Drosophila melanogaster: one gene and its partners. The protein of the gene in region 1 interacts with the protein of each later gene in a pairwise test. Each region holds a gene or a part of one and is shown in the gene's direction. Other genes may lie near its edges. The genes, in order: drn, CG7987, CG14881 and ovo.

Region 1 (7,185 bases):
GGGGTAATTTGAACAATTGCATTTGGAATTCAGCTGGAAAACAAACTACGTCATCGAGTGGCGATTCTTTGTGGCCTTTGTGTGCTTATCTTATTCTTAGGGCTGAAACGTTTATCTTTTTTGATTGCCATCTTGTGCAATTAAAAAATGAACCAACGACAACAATACTTATAGTAAAATATAATAACATAGTAAGAATCCCTTTTCAGTTTATATAAATTAAACAAAAAGCTTAAATTTGATTACATTTGGATTAGATGAACTTTAAATGATATATTTAGATAGTCAATATTTTAGAAAACGAATTAGTTAACGTTTTTGGAAGTGCCATTGGAGTACACAGTACTCTTGCTTAAAATATCCACCCATGGTCCTTTGTCTCTCATCTCTGAATGCCGTTGTTTCTGTTGTTGGTAGAACGCAATTTGTTGCATGCGCCGCTGCCTTATCCAGCAACAACCAAGCTACGCAGCAACAACAACCCCGTGTAAGCCAGGCCAACAATAACAAATCATCTCGGAAAGGGGGCGGGGATGGGGACGATGGAGGGTGGGCCGTTAGCAATGTTTCATTGTTTACTGCATTTTTCGATTTGGCTTGCTACGCATTAAAGTTCAGCAAATTGCGTTGTCTCCGAGTCCAGTGTTAGCCTTCCTTCTCTGTTCACGTGAATTGCTCATCATCATCATTTAATATATTTTTTACGCGAAATTTAGTTACGATCATGTTTATACGTTACCATATACGAAAGTTAGTATGCTCCAACTGAAAGTTATCTTATAGAAAATATAAATATTTTGGAGTACAGAAACTATACAATAAAATATGAAATCCTATCAGCTCCAATACTTTGTAACAATATTAATTTAAGATACCCTATCTCGCAAACGCAGTTAAGTAATTGCCCGATTCGCAATCACTCACACAGCTGTTGATCGCGAGGAACTGTAAGTGCACCTGTCTCTCTCACCAGCAGGTTGAATGCACCACAGCGAAATGGTATAAGCGAATGCGAGAAAGAGAGGTAGCTACAGGGGGCGATAGTGTGCCAAAAATACACCAAGCTTGTCTGCTCCCTCATTCTATGGTTGTCCTTTTAGCCCTCTTTCTCTGCTCCTTCTCCTTTTCGACTGCACAATGCACTTCTTTTTCTTCTTCCGCAACCTTGTGCGTGTGCCCACATGTTTACATAAAGTGCAACTGTGTGCACGAAAAACGTTTCACCCTCTATTTGTAGCTCCAATTGTATCAGCATAATTATAGACACTGTGACAAATAAGTAATATGTTTTACCAAAAATTGCTAAAATTAAAGGTAAATGAAGAGTTATGTAGATAGTTGCTTCTTTTTATTAAGCAATAAAAAGGGAATTATTATGTACGTTTATATACTGCAAGTCTCGCTAAATTCTGCTACAATGTACATACATACATACAAATCTATACAAATCTATTACCCAAATCAGAGCATTTAAATAGATAAGCGCAGAGAATTTCGTATGGATTGGAGGTCTAAACGAATTTCTGTATTGCTCGTGGAGGGCAGACAGTGAACATTTGTAAGGCGCACCTTGTTATCAATCACCTTTTTTACGCATTGTTTGAGGCCCCTTTGTATCTCCGCCTCGTCTTGGTTTCTCTTACAACTGCGTCGTTTTAACTTCATGGGGCAAGCTACGGGGTATACGTATAAATACATACACATGTATGTATGTGTATGTACATACTCTATAAGGTTTGTGGCTAATACGTGATGGTAAACAAACTGCAATGCAATGGCCAAATGCGTTTCGGATTCACCACGACTGTTAGACACCCCCAACTCTGTTATCTCCGCCTGCAGGGCAATATTTTCGTTTTCCACCTCACGCGCGGTTGTTATTGCTGAAAACAGGAAATAATTTTCGTTTTCTATAGAAAACACTGCTGGCAGCCGTCGCTGTTGCGTGTCTGATATTTTATTTTTAACGCTCAGCGACTTTATACTACGTAGTATTTAGTATCGCTCGCTTTTAAGTTTGCCTTTGTACGTCTCGCATAATTTTGGAGCTTTTCTGCTTGCAACCTTGCCTTTAAGTTTACAAAGTTCGTTAGCACTAGCGTATTTTTACTGTCTGTTCATTTAAATTGTTATTATTTTTGGTTGGTTTTTTTTCTTTATTGCTTTTTATTTTGGCTTGTTTGTCATCACAACAAGGCTAGTGCAGAACCAATTTCGTAGGCAGGTGCGACCTTTGATAGCTGAAATATTTGTCGAGAAACTTTACAAACTGGTATCTATCTACGGATCGTAAGTGATATTTTATATTATTTATATGAACACGATCTCATTGGAGCCTATGACCTCTAATTAAGCGAATTCTTAGCCCCACTCTGACTTTTTAATTTGCTTTTGATTTTACATTTGCTTTGCGAGTGATCGCAACAAAATAACATTTCGATGTGAAAGCGTGGTCGGATTGACGATACCCTCTAATATATATTTAATAAATGTATGCATGAATTTATTGAAAATAATATTTCCTAAATTGTATTTAACATTCTAAGTATTATTTATTAGATATATACAAAATAGACAAAAAGAATGTAATGAGCAAAAACTGGGCAATCATATTTTCAGTGCTGTATAATTTTTATTAGCACTGCATTTCAGAGCTAATCAACACTAAGCTTTTGTGCTTCATTCCATTCTCAGTAAGGACAAAACACGAAATTAGACTACAAATGTTCTGAAACATCAGTAATGAAATTGGACAAAGTGCACCTCAAAACGGACATTCTCTTGGTAAGGGTGATTTGGAAAACCAAATTTCAGGCCTGTTAAACTGCGGCAAATACTCACCACGGCCAGCCAACAGCCATTTCACAATATGGCACTGTTATCAAAAAGATTACTATTGGGGAAGACAAAGCAATCGCCATACGCTAGGCGATTTCTACATTAATACTTTTGTTTCCCGTTCGGTGAACGCATAGAAATTGATATTAAAATTATTTTTTTTAAAAAGTGCGCAGTTTGCATTGATGACGCAGCAGCGCAGTTTCGCTCTCTGCGGCTGTTAACACGCTGTAGCTCTCTTTGGGCTGGCGAACAATATGGCGTCGTCGAAATTATGTCGTCGCCCAATTTAAAGTCATACGAAAAACCATAAAGATTATTAAAAGCGCGTTTGAAGGTTTCTTGAAACGCCCAGTAAGCGGAAATAGTTTTGGTTTGTTGGCAGGGACTCGATATAAATTTGACTCTCTATCGTTGCATTGGTCTTTTGTCTCTTGTCTCCCTCTGTTCCCCTTCCACAATCTTATTGTGTGTGCACTTTGCACTGTTGGGCTAACATAGCGTGGTGTTTTTCGTTGGAAATACGCATTTTCGACCATCTTTGCTCGGTTCACATTTAATTTATTTCCTACATGGCTTCTCTCCGTTGACTGGCGATTTCTTTTTAGCCTGTCATCCTTCATTCCCCTTTCCTAACCACTTTCTCACCACACCAGCAATCAACGCTCTTTTTGCGTTAACAGCGCTCGTTTGGGCTAGAGATGAGACCATGAGTTTATGTTACGTCGTGTCACGATAAGAATTTTATTTTACATACATTTCGGTCCAATTTGCGTTTGATTTTATTGTCAAGAGGAGAAAATACAAATTGAAAATAATTTTAAACAAACATTGTATTCGATTTTATATAAATAAGTGTTTCTTTTATAGCTAATGTATTGAAAATAATAATCATTTCGATCATTTCAATCCTACATACTCCTGGTATTGTTAACTGCTTTCAACCGGAGAAGTTGAGTGACAGACTCACGCTCTCATCACCAAATTGCCACCAACAGAGCTCTGTTAGCTCGCCAGTCGCAGTCATCAAGCGTTGCGAGGTCCGCTCATTTCTGTTAGAGTGCTTGGAGACTTCACTTCGCGTTTGGAGGATCAGATCCACGTTGGTTTTTGGCTTCAATTACCCACAACTGTCATCGTCAGCCCAGTCAGCGCCTTGCTAACTAAACTAGATAATAAAGTAATCACTTTTCCGCGCTCCCCTCCCTCTCTCTCGGTCGTGTTAGTGCGCTCCGCGATTAATAAGAAACGAGTTAAAAAGGAAAGCAAAAGGAAAACTGGCAGCGTTTTCCTCTTGCAGCTGAGAAAAACCGCAGGACGCAGCTCAGCAGCAGCGTCGCAGTCGTGTGCGTTGTGCATAAGAAAAAAGAAGAAAAAAAATCCTGTAATATTGCAGAAAAAACCGTAATTCGCCACTTGAAACGAAGGAAAAACGAGGAAAAGCAACTGCGTCGTGCACCATTTTGTGATATATTTTTGCCCTCCTCCTTCTTCAACGATCCCTGTGCAATTCTCTGTTAAAGAAAAAATTAAAATAATTACTAGCAACCAATTGAATTTCTGCGAGACCAACATAACACATAAAAATTTCCAACTACTGTGATTTGAACAAAGCTCTAAGTTTTTGATTCAAGCCTGTGTAATTTCCACCCACAACGAATTGAAAAAGTAAGTGAATTCAAATGAGAAAAAGAAAATTATAATTTATTTCATTTTCCTCTTCGCTCGCCTACGTTGCTTACTCACCACTAGTCGATTCCCCACGCTCTCTCTCTCTTCACCACAGTCACCAATACACACGGGCTCGCCTACGTCACTTTGTCGTGTGTGTGCTTAGACTAGCGTTGCCATGTCGCGCGAATTACGAAGACAGGAACAATAAATAAATAGCAGTTAAATAAATAGTAGAAAATGCCATACAAAATATATGGGAATTGACTTTAAATTACATTTTTGAGTTTTCAAAATAAAAACTAAATTTTAAATACTTAAATTATAAAAAAATTAATTAAAAAATGAAATAGTTTCCACATTTCTTGAAGAATATACTGTTAACAGCAGTTAACGAAGTGTAAGCAGAAGGAACAAGTACAATGTTATGCATTAAGAATATGAATCCCTAATCTCATTTCATTCAGTGCAGCTGTTCAAGTTTTTTCTATAGTTCTTTGCCAAGAAAATATTACGACTTGCCAAAAACCAAAACCCCAACCACAAAATGTAGACTTTGAAGCGAAGGACGTCTCTGCTGATAAGTGAAAAATAAATGACTGATAGCTCAAGTACAAACATGCACATAGTGATATGCGTATATACATGTGCGTGCATTTGTGTGTATATACCCTTCAGCTATCTCCAAATTTAAATAACATTTTCCTCTTTATCGCAGTGACCGAAGAAATATCTTTATCTGCACACTCCACAATTTTAATATTATTTTTGCCTGCAGTGCGTGACTTGAATTTTTTGCTCACTCACTCTTTCGTATGACTCATAGACCCGCATAAAAGCAAGACGAGTTCGAATTATCTACGGATTTGGGATTACGGTTCTTATCGGCGAGTGCATAGGGGGTTCTGGCTGCGATGGCAACCCTGATTGTTGGACAGTCGCCCAGCTGACTTTGTTTTTCCAACTTTTCTTGGTGACTCACTTGCCTTTTTGCTGTTTTTCTTTTTCGTTAACTCCAGCTCACCTTGTAACAATTATAAAAAGTACATATTTGCTCGTGTTTTTTTTTTCGGTATAAGTTTTTTTCCTTTGCATTCGTATTTTTCTGTGCTGACGCTTTACATAAAGAATTATCTCGTTTTTTCGTATCACCTAGAGGCACGTTTTCTGGCATATGCACATTTTGATTATAGTCGGCAATCAAGCACTTTTAGTGACGGAATTAAACGAAATGACGACTTTCTTGAAATTTCTGCCGTCTATTTCGCCATTTCCAGTCGAATTTTCGTCGAGATAACAGTGAAAAAAAGATAGGAAACGAATCAAGCGCTAATTATTTGTGATTGGTTCGGTAAACAAAAATGTTTTTGAGTGAATCAGAAAGAGCGAGTCAAATAGTCGATGATATCGAGTAGGAAACACTTGAACAAATTTAAGCACTTTTCAAGGTGGATTCCTCTAAGTTTGGCAACGTAAAATTTGGTTTTTCTACGCCGAATTAAAAACTTTAAGTAAAAATCTTGTTAAATGGAATTGTTAATACAACAAATTCTAAATTGGAATTGTTCTTAAGCAGCGATTATTTTAATTGATTTGTTTTTTTTTTTATCAAAGTTCATAGATTGAAATAGTATTTGCTTATCACGCTAGTGATTCATGGATCGATATTGTTTGTCACGATTGTTTGAGAACTTTCCCGATCCCGGATGACTAATCCCCTTGTTGGCAAAAATCGCTTATAATTCTTGGCAAGTTGAGCAACAACAACACGTGTCGTTGTCGCTAATATCTAAAATTATATAAATATGTATGTTCTCGCGAAAAACACACAAAAAGCAGCGCGTTCGTTCAAACAAGTTTTGGTCGTTTGAAAAACAAAAACAATTTGTTTTGATGACGGCTCGTTTCGAATTGTGTTAATATACATAAAAACAAACAAATTATACCAACACTCTCATGTATGTATCGTATATAAAACCAGCCCTGCCTTTCATTTCCCTCGTCGTTTTATTCTACCTTTACTTTTTGTTGTGGCTAAATGGTTTTATATAAACAAGTAAAAATTGATAAGCGAACGAGACCGTTGGACGCGTGAACGGCCGCGGCCTCATTTTCAGTTGTTTTCTTTGGTTATAGGTCGCGTGTAAATGGATGCCGCACACCCGTGCACCCGTACACCGCCCAAAAAACCCGATGCCGACCATCCACCCACCATATGGCCGGGCATACGATCGAAAACTTCGGATCGGCTCGTACATTTCGGGCCTTTCATTATCTTTGCTTGCCGTTTTCGAAATGTTTTGTGCATAGCGCTATTTTTAGCACTCTAATCCCCTATACTTGATCTTCTTTTTGTCGGCTGTCGTTGTTTTCTCTCTTGTCTTTTTTTCTCGTTTTAAGTTATGCAATTTTGTTTTGTCTGTCGGTCCCTTTAGAATAACAGTTGTGATCGAAATACTAATAGAATTTAAAGTTTTTAATATTTTCGTAAAGTTGTTTGTTTTAAAATCATTTATCTTGAATTATAGATGAAAGACAAAACATTACATGGTGGTTTTTTTTTATCAAGCAAGCGATACTAATTTAATGACCGCAGCTGTTTCTTTTGGGGACAGACTGTACTGCTTCGATTTCGATCTTGATTAAATCCCATTGAAAATAGGCATTTAGAATGCA
Region 2 (10,484 bases), 5.2 Mb from region 1:
GCGGCCAAGGAATTTGGCACAGAGAAAGTCAGCTGCTCAGTTGGGAGAAATGCTTGAATTAATGGTAGAATTGACAGGGGAAAATTGATTGGCTTATTGACAATATTAGAACAGCTCTTGTCAGGCGAATCTTTTGATATTTGCATGGCTTTTCAAATAATTTATAAAGCATTCATTAGGGAAAATGCAAATTGTATTTAATACAATTATTTATATTTTTCTTGGTAATAACTAACACACTAACCAATTGTATTTTTACAATATAAAATATAAAAAAACACACTTTCAAGTACCAGACAACGTCTTTAATTTCGAGTCACATAAATCGTAAAATCTCAATTGATTTTGCATAAATTCCTGACGAAAATAGCCCAAATTTATTCACGTTCTGAACAGTATTCACACCGATTTGACGGATTACCTTAACGGATTGCTCTCCGCAAAGAGGCAACTTTAATCCCGAACGTGTCGTGTGCCAAGCCAACAAGCGATATAATAACTTATGCGATCGGTACCGAAATACAAAATGACCAAGAAATAAAAGCAGTGAAATGCAATAAAAATATCTATGCATCAACAATTACTGGTCAGCACCAAAACAACAACATTTGCTTCGGTACGAGTGTGTGTGTGAGTGTGTGTGCGTGTGTGCGGTGCATGTGTGTGGGGCAGTGTGTGGAATATTAATTAAAGTTGCGAGCTTTGATTTCTTCCCAACGACTGGGATTCCGACGGACAAGTGTTTTGCGTTGTAAAAACAAGCGAAACACCAGCAGCCTCGAGAAGAATAAGCAGGCACTGGGAGAAAATGCGTGCTATGTTTGGTTTTTCATGAATTTTATCTTAGCTTAAAAATTTGTTATTCTAAACGTAATTTCCTTACTTTTCCATACCAAAATAGTTACCCTTAGTATTTATTTTAATAACATTAAGAAAGTGAAACATATGAGATTGCTTTCATTACTAAACCAAGAATAATTGCCACCATATAGATATGAAAACTGGTATATTAAGTCAAGATATCTTAATGGTATTCCCGTATTTTCTTTAGTGCATTTCACACAAGCGCTGAAATTCAAATTCGAATTAAACGCATTCCGGAGAAGAGCAGGCATGCAAAACGCGTAGCCCGCAGATCAGCAGCGAGATTAAAAAAGGGGGCGAGGGAGTGTGGGGGATCCCGCAGATTGCATAAATGACGACCATTTGCAACAGCATTTAGCATGTAGCATTATGAAAAGCCCTCTTTGCATTTAAGACACGCATCTTGCATATTTCGCCTTGATGTTGATCGACAGTTTGACATTTTATGTCGTCGCCGCCTGTCGAAAGGACGGCGGTTACTTTTCACTTGTTTTCAGTTTCAGTTGATTTTTGCAATGCAATGCAATGGGATTTCATTACAAAAAAAAAAAAAAACTAAGAAAAACAAATCCCATTAAAACTCACCCAATCCGACCGCTAGGTGGCGCGCTAATCTTGTTGATCCAATCTCGATTGTTTTCCCTTTTCCAGAGCAACAGAAACACAAATAGCAATGGAAACACAAACACACAATGGTAAACAAATACGGAATTCCAGTCACGAGCACTTTTCTCGACTTTTTTTTGGTTCAGTTTTTCCGCTGCACTCGGCACAGTATAAAATACACACGTATATTGGCTTGTATATTCGGGGAGACTATGGCCAACCGATCCGATCCGATCCACGCCAAAGCCAAAACGAAAATTAAATAGCCGCTGCTCGTTGGCTGCCTGCGTTTCTGTTTCTGCTCTGCCCAGCGGAGCAATAAAAATAAAAGCAGAGCAATCGGGAAACAACAACAACAACAACAACACTGGGCTGGGGGAGGGGTGGAAAAGTTTGGCGCGCTTTGGCGCTCGTTTGCATATGTGTGGGTAAATAGTGTGCTCTTTAAATTGCGGGGGTAAGAGAGAAAGTCGAAAAAGAGAGAGTGCTTTCTCTTTTGGAGAGGGAATGGAAATATCGAAATTTATATATGAACAAATCTCTAACGGGATCTTGCAGGTGCAGGATCTGGGGCGACATCTGGCGGGATCTAGCCGATTAGCTGAGTTATGGGTATCTAAGGGTAGCTTTCCCTCTTGTTTAAGTAAATTAACTTTACTATCATGTCCAGTTAACCCAGGCTAAATACTTTTTTCCTATAGGGTTAAAAATAAAATGCCCACCTCTACGCATTTACGCGAATTTAAATATTAGTTCACTCCGCAAAACACCTGAGCAAATCTTTGCATTGGCTTGACTCCAACCACAAATTTTTGAATTTATACGAATATGATTTAGTCACATATCTGTTGTAGTCCAAAATGGTCTCGATTAAGTTTATTTTGCTGTTTTTGGTCTTATTCTATTTCCAAGACGGTATTTCGGCCGTGACCTGTGATCTTGCCCCCACAGATGCCAGCTGCATAGACTGTCGGGTTTACCCCACTCACATTGAGTGCTTGCAGAGATTTTGGGCGCCAACTACAACTGCAGCGCCACTGATCGTAGCCACCACCAAGAGGTCCCGAATCGGCAGGATTCGCAACTTCTTCAGCAGTTTTCTCACACGAGTCAGAAGTAAAAGTTGGTTCTGAGATATAAGAAATTACATTTTAAAGAAAGTAAAAGAAATAAATAAATTTGCTTCCGCATCAGGAACTTGTTTGTGTTAAAGGGCGGCTTATAATACAAAACAGTATTAAAAATATTTCAAGTGGTTTCCAAAAGCGTCTGAACAAAACTCGTTTTCAAACTGTAAAGGAAGTGATTTTCTAATGAACTTAAAGGATTCATCAATATATTACTTATTCTTGATTTCTTGTTCAGCCTTTTGTTTTTCAACACGTGTTTATCAACAAATTAGTATTAAGAAAATCTATAGCAAATTTGAAATCCAATGAATAGACGCTATATTTTACAACCGCTACTTTACAGCACTTTTTGCCGTTAACATTGAACTATTTTATTGGATGTGGCATCGCCGTCGGCAGGTGGCAGCCCCCACCGAGCCGAGAATAGCAGTGGGAAGAAGAACAAGAACGGGCAACGCAATGGCAATTCCTCTTTCTCCGGTCGTTCGTGAACATTTTGCGAGAAAACTTTTCGCCGCATTTAAAAACGTTAAAGACGAAGCATGCGAACGGCATAAACACTGGATTTAAGGTAAAACAACGCAGCAACAGTACTTAGTGGACGGTAGACCTATTTAACCTCAAAATGACACCGACAAACTCGGCTGAAAATTAAAAATAAAATATTCCAAAGTATCGGCTGTGCAAGAATTTTGGGCGTGTGATGTGTGATGTAATAGCGTGGCCGCAATGGCTGTTACCGTCTGTGGCTTTTTTTCATATAAATTAATTGGCCAGCTCTTTGTTTACGTTTACGCCAAGCTTGCGGTCTGGAATATAAATAAAAACGCCGACTTAACCTCATTTATGGTCCAAATTGGTGTTTATAAGTTGGAATATTTTGCATGTAAAAAAGCTTAGACACGAACATTGCTGTCAGGATAGGCGAGTGCCGTGAGTGGAAGCGAGATGACTAGTGTGTGCGGCGGTTGGAAATCAGTGGTGTGCAAATTTTCAAGAACGAAAATGCTAGATTCAAAATATTTTATTTTATGTGCTAACACTTAACATGTCATTAAAATTGTTAGCAGTCTCAGATACATCCGTTTAATTTGAATAATTTTCTTTTTTTAAAGATACAAAAGAATAGTTATTTCCAACAATTCAATATACAAAATTTAATCTAAGTCAAAACTATGTACTATGTGTAATATTAATACAAGCATTCTTCTGACCAGTAGTTCAGTTAATTTGTATTTTGCAATTCATTATATTTTATTATCTAGCTATTTTTTTTTTAAAGTAACTATTGAATGTCATCGACCAAAGATCTGGCAACGCCGTAGTCGCTCTCCCTCTCCCACCGTCTTCGGCCTTTTTGAGCACATGTGCCACCGATTGTTGCTCGCAACGGATATTTTTGTGCCTCCCGTTTGTTTATGTGTGCAACGAAGTGAGAGAACTGCATATTTTGCAGGGCTAGCGAGTGATGAACAACCAGCGATATGGCGGCATCCAGTGGATACAGCACCACGTTTCCGCGGGCGACTCCTCCGAGGTGGACATCCTGGAGTCGGATGGTGGAGCAGGGGCCTCGGGTGAGGATCTGGACCATGTGGCGGCCGAGAATCTTATATTCATGGCCCGCGACGGTCAGCTAAGTGAGATAATGGCTGCCAACGAAGCTGGTAGAACGGTCCTGGTCACCGCCGACGGCACCACGGTGGCCTATGCGGAATCCTTCGACGATGACGCCCAGGTGGTCACCGAGGAGGTAATCACAGACGACTGGGTGCAGCACCAAGGCGCCGAGCGGTAAGTTTTGCCCTACTATGCATCTTTTGAAGTTTTTCCTATTGATTTTCTTTCCCGATTTTCAGAGTGGAGATTGCTGCCGAGCAGATAGCTGGGATTAGCAGCTCACAGGAACTGCTGGACATGGAGCAGGATGAGTACACTGCGCTGAGGCCCTATCCCTGCGACTTTTGCAGTCGGCGCTTTCGCAAGAAGGCCACCTTGAATAACCATATGCTGGCCCACCAAAATGATCGACCGCACCTCTGCAAGCTGTGTGGAGCGCGATTCTCACGACGAGCAGAGCTCATTAGTCACTTCAAGGCCCACGCAGAGGCCCAGGATGCCGCCGATGCCGAGGCAGCAGCGGCGGCAGCCGATTCGTCTTCTGCCATTAAATTCGAGCATCAGACGCAGCGGCAACTGGACGATCACTACTACGAGCAGGAATGGCCACTCTTCCAACATCAACAGGAGCAGGAAAACGCGCAACAGAATGTCCATCAACAGCATCAGATTGTGGAAGAGGGCGGGATTCAGCTGGTGGCCAGTTACCCAGACACGGTAGCTCAACCAGCAGCTCCGTCGCGAGGCAGAATCAGTCGGTTGAAGCCCAAGGAAGAAAGCAGCCAGTTCATTGTGATTTCCGACAAGTCGGTGGAGGACTCTAGGCCATACATGGAGCCTGAGCCGGCTCAGCCTGTGGTTACCACGTCGGAGTTTATTGCTGTCGAACCGCCTCCTCAGCCAAACTTTCCGGTGCTGGATCACAGCAAACCTTTTGTGTGTCAGCAATGCGGATTGGCCTTTGCGCGGGAAAAGGCACTAGTTTCACACACCAAGGTAATACTCAACTCGAAATTTTTCCCTAAAACCAGCTTAACCAGTTCATTGACAAAATCATCCACTAATTATTCCTTTTTTTCTTCGTTAGAATCACCGCGTGGACTCACCGTTCGAATGCAACCAGTGTCAGGAGATGTTCTGGGACAACAGCAGCTTGCAGGAGCACCAGAAGACTCATCAGTTCGAGGAGAGCAACTCGGAGTACGATCCTGCCTCAGCGGAGGAGAGCGGCAGTGAATCGGAGGCAGACGAGCAGTTGTATGGCGAATTCTATTGCAACGAATGTGGGATCTCTTTTCATCGCCAGGATCTACTGCGACGTCATGCCAAGATGCACTGTAAGCCATCGGATCAGGCAGCTGTTGGTAGCAATTCCGATGTCACTGCTGGCGGAGACGTGGAGCTTGCCAAAGATTCTTCTGGTCACTGTTGCAACACTTGCGGAAAGTCCTTTCCTAGCGCTTTAGAGATGCTCGCCCATGCAGAAATCCATGCTAGGTTCCCGCCCTTCAAGTAAGTTCGGTCAAATGAACTTGATCACGAGCAGAAAACCGCATTTTAAAGGCTCATTTTGAATAACTTCAGGTGCGTCCTATGCGGCATTAGCTTTTACGAGGAGCAGGCGATTAAGCGTCACCTGCACACTCGCCATCCCAGTGAATTGAATGCCAATTCCTGCGTTCTGTGCGGCAAAGAGTGCCGCGATCGCAAGGCTCTGATAAAGCACGCCTGGGACCATTCGCGCGAGAAGTGCCATTCGTGCTCCAAGTGCGGAAAGAACTTCCACAACAAAGCGCGTCTAAAGCGGCACATGGCTTCGCATCGGGACAAGTCGGTTGTATGCGAGGTGTGCCAGGAAGAATTCCCCGACGGTCGTACGCTCTCCAACCATCGACACTCGCACAGCACTACTACGCCTGGCAAGCTTTTTCCGTGCCTCGAATGCGGCAAGACATTTGGTTCGCGCAGTTCCCAGCAGATTCACGTACGGATCCACACCGGTGAGCGGCCATATGGCTGCCGCTACTGCTGGAAGGCTTTCGCGGATGGTGGTACTCTGCGGAAGCACGAGAGAATCCACACCGGCGAGAAGCCATATGCCTGCTCCGTCTGCCCACGCGCCTTTAACCAACGGGTAGTGCTGCGGGAACACATTCGCTCCCATCATTCTGGGCTGGATGTAGCGCGGAACACCTATCACTGCACAGTCTGTTCCGAAGACCTGGCATCGTCCAATGACCTTATTCAGCACCTGATCCAACACAGTGATTCAAACACAGCTAAGCAGCGACAGCCCGTTGTAAGTAAAATCCTTTGTTTCGAGAGACTTGATAAATTAAAAGAATTGAATTGTTTTTTAGACGGGACCGCGCAAGTACAAGCGTCGCCGTAAGCTACAGCCTCACGAGATCGCTCACATGCGGGCGGCGAACAAGCATGTCAACGGTGATGAGGAAGAGGCCATAGGAGAAGGCGATGCAGAGGAGTGTGCCAGTGACATCGATTTCTGCGACTTTGATGTGGAGAACGTGGACGATATCTTCGACATGGCCGAATCACCCAAAAAAGAAAAGCGAAAGAGGGGCTCGGCAGCCACAAAAGCTGATGCCAAACCCGTGACCAATGGGAAAGCGGCAAAACCTGCCCAAGATAAGGGCAAAGCTAAGCCAAGATATGATTCCACCAGCAGTCAGCAATCGGATCGCCTTTGGGAGGAAAAGTTCCTGCACGACAGTCAAGTGGCTCTGTTTCAGATCGATTCGCTGGTAGTGGTCAACGACACTCATTTGCAGCCTGCTAGCTCCGCTGTGTCTGCTAACATACCCAACACAAGAGGTGGATCGAAGCAGCAGGGAAAAGTTCAGGCGAAGTCTGTAGAAGGAGCCGAAAATTTGAATAGCTCAGCTACCACATCTGACACTACATTCTCCGCCTCCACCTCCACTGCCAGCACTCGGAGCCGCAAGAGGGCAGCAACCACTAAAACAGCCAGCAAAGCACCTCCTGCCAGTAATTCGCGACCTCGAATGATTCACACAGAGAAAGCCAAGGTGACAAAAGGAGTTGGCGGAGACTCCACTAGTAGTTCGGCAAAGAAAACGCGCTCGAAGACCTATATAAGTCGCACGGAGTCGCACAATCTGAGCCTCGACAAATCCCGCAGCAGTGCCTCAAATATGGTGGATGACTATGAAATCATTTCTCCAGCTACTCATCCGCCAAATCAGATCAGCTCCAGTCCCTTGCACATCAAACAGGAGCAGGAACAACAACAGCGTGTTCAACTTATGTACGATGATAACCTACTGATAGATGCTGCTCTGCTCAGGGAGAAGACTTATGAGAAGTTTAATCCGAGCATTGTTAATGATCTGGAGGAGATCCTCCGCTCTCCACTGAAGCACGAGAGAAATTCTCGTCTTCGCTTTACCAGCGAGTCATCCACCACGCCACAATATTTGCACGAAGAGGAGCAAAACCTTATAAAAATTGAACCAACTTCTCCGGATCTGCGGGAAATGTTGGAGGGTCAGCAAAGAGTCATCGCTCATAGCGGCAGCACTCCTTCGTCCTCTTCATCTGCTAGAACTTCCAGACATCTGCGACAAATCACTGCCAATGGTGCACGGGCAGGCAGCAAGAGAACAACAGGTGGCGTAGCCAGCAAGACGTCGGCATCCCCGGGAGTGGTGGCCAAAAAATCGAACACTGCCACCAAGGTGAGCAGCAGCAGCTCATCCTCGTACCTCTCGTACGGGGTGGATTCCTACAATGTAAACGTACCTGCCAGTGCCAACAACGGCGATGTGGGCAGCGGATTCTTTTCCATCTCGGAGGTCGTTTCCGCAGCTGACGCCGCGGATGCGGCTGCTAAAGCGGCGGCAGCTGGTAAATCGGAGCGGAAAACTCGCAGTTTCGAGTGCGAAATGTGCTCGGCCATCTTTTATGATCGCACCCAGCTGCTGGAACATGTGCACATTCACATTTAAATGGAAGCTACCTAAACCACTCGCCCGGAGCCTTGTATTTTTGAAACATCTTATCCTTATATACAAACAAAATCGGAGTAAATTACCTCAAGGTATCGTGCATCGAAAAATATCGTTGATTTATGCGTTATTTAAAATATGGAACCTAAACCTATTATAGAGAGAATAGTTCGTAAGGCTTTTAAGTTTGTACCTCAGCTTTTGTTTTGAAGAATTGGTATGCTGGAATAAATACATCATTAAATGGTTTTTCATTACCTTAAATTTTGCTATCACGTATAGATTGAATCTGATTGATAAGATGGGCTCATGTAACCTTTTCTGATGTTTGAAATCTCTCCTAGAAATCTTAAATTTTCTTGGAAACTGCGATAGTGGCATGTAATATACTTTTTATAATTGGTTAAATGTTTATAAACTTGCACATGTGGGTCTTAATACATATCGACTGACCTTTGTAGTACATACTCATAGAAACACTGATAAGAGCATACCGGAAGTCTGTGTGTAATTTGAAGCCATGATTATATGTTTTCATATGTGGTGTACGGTGACTTGTTTTCGGCTCATTTGCACAGATTTTCAATTAAAGCCGCAACTGCTAACTGAAGTAGAGATCAAAACGATTCTCACAGAAAAGCGGCTTTCGCCCATCTGATAAATCAATTAATTACCGCCAATGAGCCGTATTAGAATATAAGTAAACGATTTCATTTGCATATGCATATTTATTAATCATGGAAATAGATTCTTATTTAAAGGGGGCGCACCTTTGAATATTGACTATAAATATTTGAATATTGACTATAAATATTTGGATAGTAGCTGCGAAAATATCAGGACACGTAGATACCGTAGTTTATGTTCTAAAAAAAAATATTTCGAATCTTAAAACTATTTTTTCACTTATTTTGCCTTTCTAAGCAATTTTCTTAAATATTGTAAACCCCGAGTGAGGTTCTGGTTATTGATAGTTCTGATGATGGGCCAGTCAAGTCTTGGATCGATGGCATAGAGAGCCTATTGTATTTTTCCATTGTTGATCTCCCACTGAGATGGCAGGTATAAAATGGGCCACATCGCCGGGTGTTCATCAGTTCTCTCAGAGTCGTCGAGCGAGCAACATGAACGTAGTAAAATCTTTGTGTATTTTGGGTCTGGTTCTCGTCAGCTTGATTGCCACCCAAGCAGCCGATGAGCAGGTGGTAGGCGGTGTCAGCCAGTTGGAGGGAAACAGCAGGAAGGAGGCTCTGGAACTTCTGGATGCCACTCTCGCACAGTTGGCCACCGGAGATGGTCCCAGCTACAAGTGAGTTAGAACTGAGTTCCGAATTTAAAATTCATACTAATTGATCTGCTGATCTTAGGGCAATCAATGTGACCTCTGTGACGGGTCAGGTCGTAGCTGGAAGTCTTAACACCTACGAGGTGGAACTTGACAATGGATCCGACAAAAAGCAGTGCACCGTGAAGATCTGGACTCAGCCATGGCTCAAGGAGAACGGCACCAACATCAAGATCAAGTGCTCTGGTGACGATGGCGAACTGGACCGCACCTGGTAGAAGATTCTTCGTGAGAATTGCCCTGAAAGAAATAATAATAAAAAAAAAAACAAGATACACGTGATTTAAAAAATGATTTTTGATTAATTTTCGGGGAACTATTGTTGCAAAGTATCCAATATATTGTTGGGAAAAATAATAGGAGTGTATAAATACTTGATTTGCTTTGTTTACGTTCCGTGCTAACCAATTCCCATCGCTAGGCAATTACACACATACTATACATATACATATATAAGATACTATATATTTATTGAGATAACAACCATAGAAGCTTTCACTCCAACAAAAGCTCCAGAAGCTGACTCACAATCGGAACGGAACAGAGTGATATCATTTCATGTTTTGGTTTTGGTTTTGTTGAGTTTTGCTACTATCGCCGCCATGTCCAACGTTCCAATTGTAGGCGGGATCAGTCAGCTGGAGGGGAATGAGAGGAAGGAGGCTCTGGAACTCCTCGATGCCACCCTCGCACAGTTGGCCAACGGAGATGGACCCAGCTACAAGTGAGTTAAGGCTAAACTCGGTCTAGAGCTTGCCACTTATTAATTGATTTTACTCCAATTGAAGGGCACTTAATGTAACCTCTGTGACGGGTCAGGTCGTAGCTGGAAGACTCAACACCTACGAGGTGCAGCTGGACAATGGATCCGAGATAAAACAGGGCACTGTGCAGATCTGGAGTCGCGCATGGCTAAAGGAGAACGGCACC
Region 3 (6,257 bases), 7.1 Mb from region 1:
TGATTCTTATAGATTTACACTTGCATATTGACATATTGGCATATGAAATTGCACATTCCACATTTGCTTACAGTCTCTGTACAACCGTGTGGGCAGCTGCCCCATTCTAATCTCAGCCACAAGTGCCCACGCTACGGATGCAGTGGCAACCGCGAGGCAGGTGCTGCACTTTGACACCCGCTTTGAGACCCTGGATCCGCACGGCAACAAGCTGCGCCGGCGGAAGGATTACAAGGACTGTCGCAACTGGGACAAGGATTACCTGCGCAACTGCACACCGCTGAACTGTGAGGAGCGTTACTTTGGGAAACGGAGCTTTTTCAATAGGGAAACGGAACAGTGCGAACCGGTGACTGATTGCTCGGCCCCAGGCGAGTACTACGACATCTTCAGCAACGAGCGCGTCGATCCTGGCAATTTCGTGTCCGAGGAGGAGCTGGACCTCATTAAGCAAGGAAAGTTCGACTTTAATTTTTTGGATTTGCGGGGGCCACCATCGGTAAATATTGTTAATACCAATAACTTTTTGTTTTTACCTTTTCTAAAATATTGAAAATCTGCGTGCGTTTAAATACCCATATCAACGCATTCTCACAGGCGCCATCTTACGTATTTGGCTTGAAGCTCGTGCACTGCTTGCATCGCAACAATGGGGTCAAGCAGTGCGTGCGTATGTACAAATTTTTTGTTGAGGAAGCACTAAAGTAAAGTCGTGCCACATGCGTGAATATGGCGCCGTGGCTTAGTTGGTTAAAGCGCCTGTCTAGTAAACAGGAGATCGTGAGTTCGAATCTCGCCGGGGCCTATTGGAACACGATTTGAGTGTGCCAGTAATATTTTTTCTATTATATTTTCTATTTCTATCAAGCTATTATTTTTATATACTAAATTAATCTTACCGTTTAGCAGCATGAGCCGAAAGCCAACAAAGCGCTTCCTTACAAGAAAAATACCAGGCCAACAAGGCACTTTGTCCATTCCAAGCATGAGAAGTCAGATGATTGCGACAATTTGCGTAAGCTAACCCTGGCCGATTTTAACGACTGCTTTCAGCATTTGCAGGATGGTCAGTCCGAGCCGGTCGCAGTTGAACCCACAATCGAGAAGAAAATCAAGAAAAAATCGCCATTTGAGGTGCCCATGCTAACGCAGCTCTATTACGACTGGTATCTTCCTTTAAGGAGCGATAGCTGGGGGGAAGGCGGAGAAATCGGTGCCATAGGTGATCCCAGTCCACAAAATGTCTCATCGGGATCGGAACCCCTCATCACGTGGATCGGCAAGCTGGATTGGAAGGGCTGGCTGTTCCTGATTCTCAGAGGAAGCTTTTTCGTGAGTTTGTGATGTCGGTGCCCGAACAATGTAAATTTATATTATACAATTATTGCAGATCTTATTGCTAATTGTGTTTCAGGTTTTCGCCACTCTGACGGCCTATTTTATAGTGTGTCTATTTGTCTATGGATTTATGGAACTGTATGGCTTGTGGACTAGTGACGATGCACCCGAGACATTTATGTTGGACTCCAGTTCTCAATCCACCGCCTACAATCTCGTCACCACAGAAAGTTTGATGTCACATCGATAACCGAGTTTTAAGAATTTTAAATGTGAATTTATGGTCTTTTTATAAATATTTAATTGTATATTACTGGCTTTAATGTTGGAAATAATGAATTATTAAAATGTAAAATTTTTTAATATCTAGCCAAAGGAAAATAAATCGAGTTTTTGTATAGGGAATACCCTAATCAAATAAAAAGCAGTGTTGCAAGTTGAATTTACATCACACAAACAAAAACCATTCGCTTAAAATTCCTGCTCGGCAAATCTTTTTAGTTTATTTAATTTAATTTAACCGGCTCGGAGTAGAAATGGGAACCGAGGAGGAGCTGATGTTCCGCAACTTCCAGCGCCTGAAAAGCTACATCTTCGACGACGAGAAGGTGTCCACCACCACATCCCGCGAGCAAGTGAGTAATCCCCGAATGTCGCCCAGGAAAAGATAAGAGCCGATGAATACTTGCAGCAAAAGACGGAGAGTTCGGTGGAGAAATGCTTCGACCGCTTCGAGCAGATAATGTTCACCGACCCGCGCCTCACCCAGATCTTCCGGCTGGAGCACCAGTACTACCTGGACGCGATGCTGAGGCGGCTGCCGTCCAATTACGAGTGCCTGGACAGCAGTCGCGCGTGGTGCGTTTACTGGATCCTGCAGGCGGCCCAGCTACTTAGCTTTAACTTCGACGACCAGACATTGAACCACGTGGTCCAGTTTCTAAGCAAGTGCGTCTTTGAAGGATATTTCTCTAATAGGCATCCTTAATGCTCCAATCACTCTTTCATAGCTGCCGTTCGCCGACTGGGGGTTTTGGAGGAGGACCTGGACAGTATGCCCATCTGGCGCCCACCTATGCAGCAGTGAACAGTCTGTGCATCATCGGAAGCGAGCAGGCGTACCGTGCCATAGACCGACCGACTTTGGTCCAGTTCCTGTTCAGTGTACGTGACTCAGACGGCTCCTTCCGGCTCCACGTGGATGGTGAGACGGATGTGCGTGGCGCCTACTGCGCAATCTCCTGCGCAAAGCTGCTAAATCTTCCCGAGCCAGTGATCAAGGAGCTATTTGCCGGCACTGGCGACTGGATAGCCCAGTGTCAGACATACGAGGGAGGATTTGGAGGAGCCCCTGGTCTGGAGGCCCATGGTGGCTACACCTTCTGCGGAATCGCGGGCCTGGCGCTGCTCAACGAGGCTGATAAGTGCGACAGGCAGGCTTTGCTCAAATGGACACTGCGCCGTCAGATGACCTACGAAGGCGGCTTCCAAGGGAGGACCAACAAACTGGTTGATGGCTGCTACTCCTTCTGGGTGGGAGCCACCATTCCCATTACGCAGGCAACGCTATCCGGCGTCGATAAGCAAATGGAGCACACCCTTTTCGATGTGGAGGCCCTGCAGGAGTACATCCTGCTCTGCTGCCAAAAGCAGAGCGGCGGGCTTATCGACAAACCCGGAAAGTAAGGGATTAATGCCAACATTGTGATGTTTTTTAATGTAAAACCCATATTTTCAGACCGCAGGATCTCTACCACACATGCTATACTCTTAGTGGCGTTTCCATTGCCCAGCACTCGGAGTGCGCCAGCAGCCCCCAGGTCCTGGGCGACACCATTAACGAGCTACTGCCTACCCACCCACTGTTCAACATCCCACCAAAGTCAGTTGCAGCTGCCAGGAGCCACTTCAGCAATTCCAATGACACAGAGTTCTTGGGGAAAGACAGTCCCAGCAAGGAGGAGAGTTAAGGCTTCAGGTCAGGAGGAGGAGCCTGCGTAATGAGGACGTTTTGCTGGTGGTTTACCTTTAAAGAACTAAACTTGGTTTAATAAATTAATCTTTGAAATATTGTATTTTTCGCTTCTTGTATAAATGTACTTATTGGAAAAGGAATTGATTAAAATGTTTAACGTTTTCTAAAAAATATTTATGTCATATATTATTTCGAAATAAAATTATTATGTTTTCAAATAAATTCATGTGTGATTTTGTACAACAACCCAATTGCTCATTATAAAAAAAAATGAGATGAAACAAATAACTTTTATAAATGTGGCTTTGAATCCGAAAGCTATTATTTTGCCCCCAATGTATTTCAGCACGTTTATATGTGAATGGTAAAACATGAATAGTTTGCGTTGTGAATGGCATTTTGGGACTGATTTCAAATCGCAGCTTTGCCTTCGCATCCTTTTTATGTTCTCCAGCCACAGGACATTGAAGAGGAGGACGCCTGCCCAGGGCATTGACCGCCGGGAGTACATTGGTCACCTGGTCGATGAGTATTATACGACAACCAACATCGGTAAGGTTTTTATTCACGTCATTTTGCCGGTGTGAATTCATTTTTGATTTTCATTATTAGAGGCCCAGCAGCAGGTGACTGCTAATTTGGCCAATTTTGCATACGATCCCATCAACTGGTCGCATCTCCTGGAGGCGGACGCCTTGGATGTATTTGTGGCATCGCTGGAGACACAGGATCAGCTATTAAAAGTGCACGGAATTGCGGCATTGTGTAACCTTTGCCTGGGTAAGCAAACATTTGATTTTCAAACCAACCTTGTTCATCATATTCTTATTGCAGACAAAACGGCTGCCAAATTTATCAGAGAGCAGCTAAAACTGCTAACCGGCCTCTTTGTGCGCACTGATCACCCGGAAATAGTACTTCACAGCCTGGCGCTCTTTTACCAATTACTGGAATTTGGTGAACGGACTGAACGGGATTTACTTCTGAGCCCTGCGGTGCTAAGGACGGTGCAAGAGTGGCGGGTCAAGGCCCACGATGAACGCATCGTTAAACTTTGTCAGTTGCTGCTGCAAGATTTCGCAACACGCACAGAGGTTGTCCAGCTGCAAAAGGCTTCCCCAAACGTTCCGACAGCTGAGCAGCAAAGCAGTGAAGCAGGTGCAAGTGGTTAAGCGGTTTTCCCAAAGCGATTTGGAGCAGTTTGCCCAGTTCACCGGCGACCACAACTACATCCATAGTCTGGAAACGCCCACCGAGGAGCGCCGCGTCCATGGAGCCCTGCTCAACGCGGTGGTGGCTGGTATAATGGGTACCCAGCTCCCTGGTCCGGGCACCGTGGTTCTAGAGCAGAATTTCAAGTTTCTGAAACCCTGTCGTATTGAGACCGACACCGTGGTGACCGTACGTCTGCTACAATCTCGCAAGATTTCCACCGTGGAGTACGATATAAGGCAGAACGACGAGGTGGTGTTCGCCGGCAGCGCCAAGTTGCTGACTCGCAACTAAAAAGACTAGCTTTGGTTCAATAAAAGTGGATGTTAGAATATTTATTTTACTACTTCTTTGAGGCCCGCTTGCCCTCGCCCTTCTTGGGAGGCGCCTTGCCGCGCAGCTTGCGCAGACGCTTCATCTCCTCCTTGAAGTCCTGGTGCTCATCGCGGAACAGTCCGTAGTCGCGAAGGTTCTTCATCAGCAAGTGCGTCTCCACGTGCCGCGGATACCAGTTGATCACGTAGTCCCGTTTGTGAATTGGTTCCTCCGAGAACATGCGAACCACCTGGGGAAGGTCGGATAAAACATGTTTACATTTTAATTAATAAATTTATTTCGAGAACATACCTTCATGGACTTCTCGTTTGTGGTGCGAGCCACTTCGCCGAAAATGCGATTTGAGAGGTAGTTCATCCGGCGAGCATACTGCGTGCCGACCTTAATCAGCTCCGTGTACTTGTGGGACATAGTTAATATTAGTTTGCTATGCTTTTCATGAAATAATTTAAGTTAAGTTTCTAAGTTTTAGTAAATTGCGGTTATGTCACGAAACAAAAACAAGCGACAGCTGATTTCCAAGTGCAGTTGGCATTCACACAAAAGGCCGACAATAGGGACATTCCTCAAATTTTAAACCTGTATTGACCGTTATTTTAAAGATTATTATAGAACATTTACTTGAAAACTGACTACAAAACAGCACTGGCGTCTATAGACAATTCAGTAAAATTAAAAGTAAAACCTTGTTATAAAAATGAACATATGCGAAATATAAGAAACCCACATTTTAGAACAATAATTTGTGGCTTCCATTATCGAAGGTTCAAAAAACATACTTCTTTACTAATATATATATAGACTTGAGCTCAAATTCGTCAAATTAGTTTTTATTTAAAATGAAAAGGAATTAGAGTATGTACCACCTTATTAGTCAACTGGAATAACAAAATTTTAGCAACAATCTAAGCATAAGGCTGCTTCCAATGTAATACTAAAACTTCTAGTCTATCTTAAACCGTCTCTATGGCCCCCCGTCGCCTGCCCTCCGATCCGCCAGTGGCCTCGTTTCCGTCGCTCCCAATAAAAGAAGTCTCCTCGGAGCTCTGCGTTGGGAGCACTTCACGGTTCAGCCCATTTAACTGGCTTAGCAGGGCGTTAGTTCCCCCCAGGGACGCTTCACGTGGTGAGCCGCTATGACCGGACAGCTGATCGTAGTGGAGCACGCGGATGGGTGTGTGTGAGCGGGAGGCAGGCGAGGGGTTTCCCCGAGAGTGCGGACTGTTGTTCCGTGAGTGCTGGAAGTCCTCGAGAGGAATCTCCTCCGACCTAGAATGAAAAAATATTACACATTTATTTATAACTCGATTAGGTGAAAATTAGTAAATTTTATAATTAACAAACACATAGAATAACGAGGACAGATAAAACTGGAGGGCTTAAAGGCATGCTATTC
Region 4 (7,105 bases), on another chromosome or scaffold:
CAATGGGCTGGCTGGCTGGCTATCTGCTTCTTGCTTCACTTGAAGCATTATTTTAGCGAGTCGCCGTCGATGACGACAATTGAGCAAATAAAGATAAGAACCAACAAAAAGTTGTAATAAAAAAAAAAACAAAAAAAAAAACAATAGAAAAAAGATCGCCAAACTATTTCCATACATTCCATTCAAGATTTTATTTGAATTATTTTTTTTTAAATAATCTAAACAATTGTTTCCTTTTTAAATTATGCAAAACCGACTTTTGCTTGGCAACGCACCTTTGGCTTTCCAAACTAATAAACACAAGACATTTTACCCATTTCTGCACTTTGATATATCAAAATAAATCAAAAATACACTACTGATCATTTTTTTCGAGTGTACAACACCATCGCACAATGGCAAGAACTACCAGCCAAGAAGGAGTGAATGAGATCGAACGATCCAAGCGCATTGAGGCCCAAAGGAACACATTCTTAAACACAGCAATTACCCAGCGAAATGGGCGACGGCGGGCAAAGAGGGGTGGGGGGGGGTGTCTCTCTGCCCGTGGAGCAGAAGATGCAGACACTAACAACGAGAAAATTCTGTTGGCTCCGTGGGCCCTCTTCTACGCCCATACCGCCCCCTTCTTGGAACGAACCCCACCCAACCTAAACAAGAACCCAACTACCAAAGCCAAAGTCAAGGCATTAACAGCCCAGTGAACACACTCACACACTTGCCATGTGCAATTCCACACTTACGTACATCGGTATAGATGTATACATATAGACAAGATATATATATATATATATGGATCTGGCAAGCAGTGTCGGTCGTGGTCTATACCTTTGGTGGCCTAGGTCTGGGCCAACAACAAAAACCAGCTCGATTCTCATTGGGTTCGCAATCAAGAACTTGAGATTCGCTTTTGGTTAGAGATCTCGATCCACTATCTGAACTTTGGGCTTATATTATAGTCGCTTCAATAACCATTTTAGAATAATAAAGCTTTAAACTAAACTAGTTGCATTTTAAATTTTCGCTGAGAGTTTTAACTTACTTTTTATCTGCAAGGGTTTCAATTAGATTCTGAAAATAAATCAAAGAAAATCAATTATTATTTCGTATAGAACTATTTGCAAAAAATATATAGACATAATACAAATTCTCGCTTTCAAGAACATTCTATGTACACAATGTACATATAATCAAATCTTTTAGTACAACCAAAATCTGTGCATATTTTCGTTCTGGACCAGAACACTTGCATTTTGGCCAACGAGCGGCTTTTTGAGTGAGAGTGAAGTTGGCGCAGGAACAATGCAGCAACAACAACGCAGGGGGGGGGGATGTTCTTCAGAAGGCTCCACCGACCGAGAAGAAGAAGAGCCAACGGAAAACCTCTACTAACGCCAACATCATGACATTAACATTGCCGCTGCCTCAACGGCAAAGTCACAGTCAAAGCCAAAGTTAGCAACAGGTTTTCTGTGCCTGCCACTTCGGCCTCAGATTCTCAGAGCCGCTCTTTCTCCAATTCTCTCGCGATACACATCGATGCACGGAAATAAAATGAGTTTCAGATAATTGAATTACAAATTCTACCGATTATTTTCAATCAGAGGCCAACATTTTAAAAATGTGTTATTTCTTAAAATTTTAACTTGATATGAAATTAAAAAAAAAAAGGATTAAGTTGATCCTCAGTTTTATGTTATTATTCTATTAAGTTTTGAAGGGGCAGCGCACTAATTTCTTATGGTGCACCTCTCTCACCTGCGAACGAGGCTTCGTTTTCAGTTTCGGACGTGAGTTCGTCTTCGTTTTTACCTTCGGCTCGTTGCTCTCTCTCTCTCTACCTCCGCACACCAGCTCAAAGTTAGCTGTAAATTTGTTACGTCGCCGCAAAAGAGCGTATGCGTGCGTGTATGTATATGAGTGTGTGTGCCACACAGGTGTGCGACGCTCTGAATTCGCCGTCGCTTACATCACTTGCTCTCCATGTGTGTGTGTGTGTCGGTGAAATAACGTTAGTTATCCGTTGGCAGCGCACCTGTGCGGGTTGAAAAGAGATGGAGCTAGGCCTTCTTATTTGCCATTCTAAGCGCATTCTAAGCGATCTTCTCTCACACATACAAACGCATGCGCACAAGGATTTAGGGGAAGGAGAGAGCTGGTGAAAGAGAGAGAGAGAGAATGAGACGCACACCTGAGAGCGAGAAATGCCTGCGTTGCCAACTATTTTGCCGTTTAATTTCGCTTATATGGGTACATTTTTCCATCTTACTTGCCGCTGTTGCTTCTTCTTATTTGGCTCGTTATTTCTTCTTATTGTATTTACCGCGGTTCTCTTTCCATCGTTGTACACAAACACACTCGCACAGATATAATAATGATGAAATTCTTCAAGGGCCACAATCATGCCTCCTTTTTTGGGGTTCTTTTTATCGAAAATCAAATGACTTAGGAAACAAACTAGCCAGAATATTTAATTATAATTAGGAGGATATTTAAAAACATTATTTGCAAACTATTTCATTTAAACAAATCGTTTTAATAATTGATATCTATTGATAGGCTTAAGAACATTTAAGAAAAATATCTATTTAAATTTAGCTTTAATTCAATTATTTTAAGATGTGCTGTAAATACAAAGTCCTTAGTTCGAAAGTACAGTACAAAATTAACAAAAAATGACCGGAACATAAATATTTATATTGAAATTTTTCTAAATTTTCTATTAATTTGCCAATCCAACCAAATTCTAAGTACCACAAGTACAGCTCGCGGTATCGGGTAAAAACGATCTCAGCCGGCAAATGGCCAAGGCGAAGATTCTTGATCATGAGCGTGATCATCATTATCATCACTACCTTGACTCTGAGGAGGGAAAGAGAGGGCGCGTCAGAGAGACAGAGAGAGAGCGCGAAACTGCATGAGAAACGTTATGTGAGCGAAATGAGGCAACGCACACAAAACACTCTCACTCTCTCTCACACAGGTGCGCTTGGTTCGCCGTTTCGCCGCTGTTTTTCTCACCTGAGCAACGGCGAATATCTCGTTATTTTCTGACTCATACGAAAGGGAAGTTTCGCTCTTTCTCTCTCTCTCGATTTACGGTGTTTTAAATTCGCCGTCTAACTGAGTTTGTTGTAGCGGCGAGATCGATCGGTTGACTTTGGTTTGGCCTAACTGACTACCTCGAATACAGTAAGTTGCGAGCCGGCGTTGTGAATGCACGTGTTTTCGCTTAACTCACCTGGGCGAATCCCAAAGACCAAAGCAAACCATTAAACTCACATAAAACAATACAATTTATAAAAACGAAAACACTGTGTTGTGCATCAATCAATATAGTAATATATTGAATTACATCCATACAAAACAGAAACAAAATTTTTTTTGAGTAATATTTTTTACAAGTGCGCTGAATAACACAAATAAATCAAGAACCCAACAAGTGTTTGAAAACCCAAAAAATAAATTGGGAAAAACAAAAATTTCTCATAACCGAATATTTTTTTTTTTTGAAAACTTGGGGGAAAAATCAACACTTTTTTCGACAAGTCACCGAAAACTTAAAAAAAAATTGATTTTTCAAAAAAAGAACCAAGACTCGACACTGCCGAAAAGGCAATATTTTTCAAGTACATTTTTTCGAAGTGTTTTGACAAAACAAAGCAAAATTCTCGAACCAAAGAACAAAATCACGAAAGGACACCCCAAAACAATCCCTCAATTATAATTGACTTGACTTTGACTTGCAAAGCCGAAGAACTTTCAAAAGACATGAAGAGGGCAAAACAGAAGTTAACTTGAGCTCGGCTCATGACCAAATCAAAACTGAAATCAAGCAATTTTTTTTTTTTCAACACAGTGGACGAGCGGCGAACAAACATACACACACAATTGGATTAGTGTTTTGTTTATTTCGGACCCACTGTAACTGTCCCTCGTCCACCTGAAAATACGAAGAAATTCGTCGCCTCCTTGAATTCGTCGCGTGTCGCCGTCGCGTTTCGTTAAATCGCTTATCGTTCATCGCAAATCAACCGATAATCCATCATGCCGAAGATTTTCCTGATCAAAAATCGCCTGCATCAGCAGCAACAGCGCTTGCTTGAATCGCAAAACTTGCTGCAGCACAAGAATCAGGATGATGAGCGCTTGGTGCCGCCCCTCAGTCCAAGTGGGAGTGGTAGCGGCCCCTCGCCAACGCCCACATCCCAACCACCACCGGAACCGCAAGGTCAGGGGCAACAGGTGCTCGGACAGGTGCCCGATTCAGATCAACAGCCACTGAGCCTCACGCGCAAACGATTCCACCATCGTCGTCACTACTTCGGACAATCGCGCCACAGTCTCGATCATCTCAATCAAAATCAGAGCCCGAATCCAAATGCAAATGCAAATCCCAATCAAATACAAAATCCTGCGGAATTGGAAGTCGAATGCGCCACTGGCCAAGTTCAAAATGGTAAGTTGAACTTTTCTAAAACAGAGTCTAAAAATCTTTTCGCTGCCTTATACATAAATACACCTTTAGGAGCGATTAAATTTCCGTTTGCCAAACCGTTGTCACATAAATGCGTTCTGTTACTTGTTTGGAATACTCGAAGCACAAAATATCAAAGAACAACGCAAAGAATTTTAATTTACTTGGATAAATAATTGCTACAAATCTGTCAGTCAGTTTTTTTTTTTTTTTTTGGCCGATGGCAAATCGGCTGGCAATACAATGCGCCATATCTATTGCCTGGAAATCTTTTCAAATTTCAAGCTTCACTTTTGGGCAGCTTTTGTTATTGCTTTTCGCCCACACCATAACGAACTCGTCCCCAGTGTATCTTTGTATCTTTGTATCTATATCTGCCCTGTCTATCTTCCATTCTCCAAAACGGAGCTATGGGTTTACTTCGACATCAATCACTTTCATTGAATTTCGTAAGCGTATTATTTCGTTTTATTTATTTTTTTTTTTTATTTTGCCAAAAAAGCCAAGCAGAGTTCTCATGTCTCTGTTCTGATCTCTGTTTTCTGTTTTCAGTTTTCTTTTTATTTTCTGTCTGTTTCTGTTATATAATCGCCCAGCATGCTTATTAAGTCATTTCGATTTAGGCGGTGGTCTTAGGTTAAAGGTTTAAAATTTTCATAAATGATTAGGCGAGAAGAACTTTCTTCGTTTTCGGGGCGAGTTTTATTAATTAAGTTCTTTTCGATTTTATTTGAAAGTGAATTTCGTTCAGCGTTCTTTTGGCGTTTTTTTTCGCTAAAGTCTTTTGTTTCTAAGCATTTTTTAACTGCCCTTTGTCTGGCCTTAATTATATCTATATTTTTATGCAACCATTATGGCTCGACTTCACTTCAAGAGTAGCTTCTCTCACACGCAGCCTCATAATTTTGCCCCTTACGCAGGCATTATATTTCATGGTTATAGCTTATATATATTATTTTCACGGAGCGCGTAGTTGAGTGCTATATACAACATTTATTAAATTAAATAACATGTTACGTTCTCGGTTCCTCCCGGTTTATCGCCAAGCCAACCAAGTTCCCTTCATCATCTCTATCGCCCATCCACTTAAAAATGTATTATGAACGCTTCCGCTGTATAATTTTTATGAGTTCTGCGGATATTGTAATGGAAGTTATTTGAAGGGAAATCGTTTCGCAACGTTATATTCTCAAAGAAAAAATTTTTAAATTGGATAGAATTACACAGAAGTTGGTGAGCTCATCGGATTCGCATAACTTCATAACTAACACTTTGAAGTTTTAAGTTCCAACTTTGATCAATCTATGCAGGATTTAATATTATTTAGGTCTTGCACTCTAAACATGTGTTCTCATGCTGCTCTGATTTCAAAGAACCCTCTGGTCACACTGCTTGTTCACTTTTTTTTTTTTTTGTTCAATTACCGCTCGCTGTTCGTGTTTTTCTTGGCTTTAGTGGGCTGTGCCCATGGCCAAGAACTTCACACACTTGAGCGCACACTCACACACTAGAGCGAAGCTAGAACGAACGAAAAAAAAAAAATTATATAACTACCAAAGTACAAGGTACTAAAAGCCAGATACAAGAAAAAATCTCCTCTCAACCACGCAAAAGTACAAGTTTTGCCAGAAGATGAAGAACCAAAGCCAAAGCAAAAAGAAACGGAAAAAGAAAAAGAAAAGAGTGCGGAGCAGAAAAAGAACTTCATTTTGTTTGGTTTTGCAGCCTAGACTTGAGCTAAAGTTCCAACTACACACAATGACTAAGAAGATCATCATGACGATCATGAGAGCCAAGTTCAGTTGAGGAGGTGGAGCAGGAGAAGGTGGTTTGGGGATGAGGACGTTGGGTGGGGTGCATTGTAGGTACGTCGTCTGCCATTTGGCCTAAGCAAAGTCAAGGCAACTGGCCATAATAAAACTTGTAGAACCAGTCGAATTGAAGACTGGGGAGAAGAAACTCACCAGAAGAGGCAGGAAAGGCAAAAGAACAGAGCTTGTGAAATGCTAAAGGGCCTTGGAGGATGAACATTGCTACAGGAGAAAAAGCAAAATGCGAACCAAGATGCTCGAGAAAAGCGAACCAAACCGAACCAAAACGAACCGAACTGAACTTCATGCATATATGGACAAGAATTCCTCCTAGTTTCTTCGCCCGCCACAGCTGGAAGTTATGAGCATAACTTCCTGTTACATTTTCCTCTATCTTCAGTCAGCGATCTTTATGCCGCGAATTTCTCTCGGGCCACTAGTAAAAGTTAATAAATAACCGAAAGGAAATTCATTGATCGACCGATCGGCGATAAGGAAATTTCCAAAAATAAAGGAGAGCGATCAATGCAAATTCTGCAGCTGTTAGAACTGCAAGTTCAATTGCACACACAGAGCTTACACGCAGATGTTGCAATCCTCGAGCGGAAGTTAGCGAAAGGTTCCCTTAAAGACCTCGCGACCCTTCTCCAGAGACAAGTTCAGCGAACCCTCTCCAAACAACACTCACCATCTCAAACAAAACCAAAAAAAAAAAAAAATAAACACAGACGACGACGAGTCAAAAGCAAAAGTCAAGTGGTAAATGAGGTAAATGGTAAGGTAAATGCAAAAAGAGAAAGACAAGGGGGCAGTAGTA

What was found.
Region 2: the proteins of drn (region 1) and CG7987 interact in a two-hybrid assay, tested with the Drosophila melanogaster proteins (one large-scale study listed by BioGRID).
Region 3: the proteins of drn (region 1) and CG14881 interact in a two-hybrid assay, tested with the Drosophila melanogaster proteins (one large-scale study listed by BioGRID).
Region 4: the proteins of drn (region 1) and ovo interact in a two-hybrid assay, tested with the Drosophila melanogaster proteins (one large-scale study listed by BioGRID).

Annotation. Positions count from the first base shown.
Region 1 is NT_033777.3:9,337,986-9,345,170, forward strand, and holds the start of drn (doctor no), read left to right. Parts: upstream 1-2,668; 5' UTR 2,669-2,784; intron 2,785-3,881; exon of another isoform or gene 3,882-4,506; intron 4,507-4,590; exon of another isoform or gene 4,591-4,909; intron 4,910-7,185.
Region 2 is NT_033777.3:14,568,458-14,578,941, reverse strand, and holds CG7987 (uncharacterized protein), read left to right. Parts: upstream 1-3,054; 5' UTR 3,055-3,171; intron 3,172-3,882; 5' UTR 3,883-4,068; coding exon 4,069-4,394; intron 4,395-4,459; coding exon 4,460-5,216; intron 5,217-5,307; coding exon 5,308-5,732; intron 5,733-5,804; coding exon 5,805-6,519; intron 6,520-6,580; coding exon 6,581-8,209; 3' UTR 8,210-8,470; downstream 8,471-10,484. Other genes in the region: CG44094 (uncharacterized protein), read left to right, coding at 2,331-2,603; Cys (Cystatin-like), read left to right, coding at 9,334-9,518, 9,577-9,772; CG8066 (uncharacterized protein), read left to right, coding at 10,157-10,278, 10,343-10,484.
Region 3 is NT_033777.3:16,431,209-16,437,465, forward strand, and holds CG14881 (uncharacterized protein), read left to right. Parts: upstream 1-3,690; 5' UTR 3,691-3,756; coding exon 3,757-3,865; intron 3,866-3,925; coding exon 3,926-4,093; intron 4,094-4,147; coding exon 4,148-4,359; coding exon of another isoform or gene 4,360-4,447; coding exon 4,448-4,819; 3' UTR 4,820-4,858; downstream 4,859-6,257. Other genes in the region: CG31279 (uncharacterized protein), read left to right, coding at 74-499, 907-1,332, 1,391-1,588; Fntb (farnesyl transferase beta subunit), read left to right, coding at 1,875-1,973, 2,030-2,286, 2,349-3,020, 3,077-3,308; mRpS33 (mitochondrial ribosomal protein S33), read right to left, coding at 4,869-5,090, 5,153-5,272; ema (endosomal maturation defective), read right to left, coding at 5,815-6,130.
Region 4 is NC_004354.4:5,045,084-5,052,188, forward strand, and holds the start of ovo (ovo), read left to right. Parts: upstream 1-3,189; 5' UTR 3,190-4,047; coding exon 4,048-4,459; intron 4,460-7,105. UniProt on the Drosophila melanogaster protein: Transcriptional regulator with essential functions in the germline and soma. Plays an essential role in regulating the formation of apical cell extensions such as denticles and aristae, and initiating cytoskeletal remodeling during epidermal differentiation.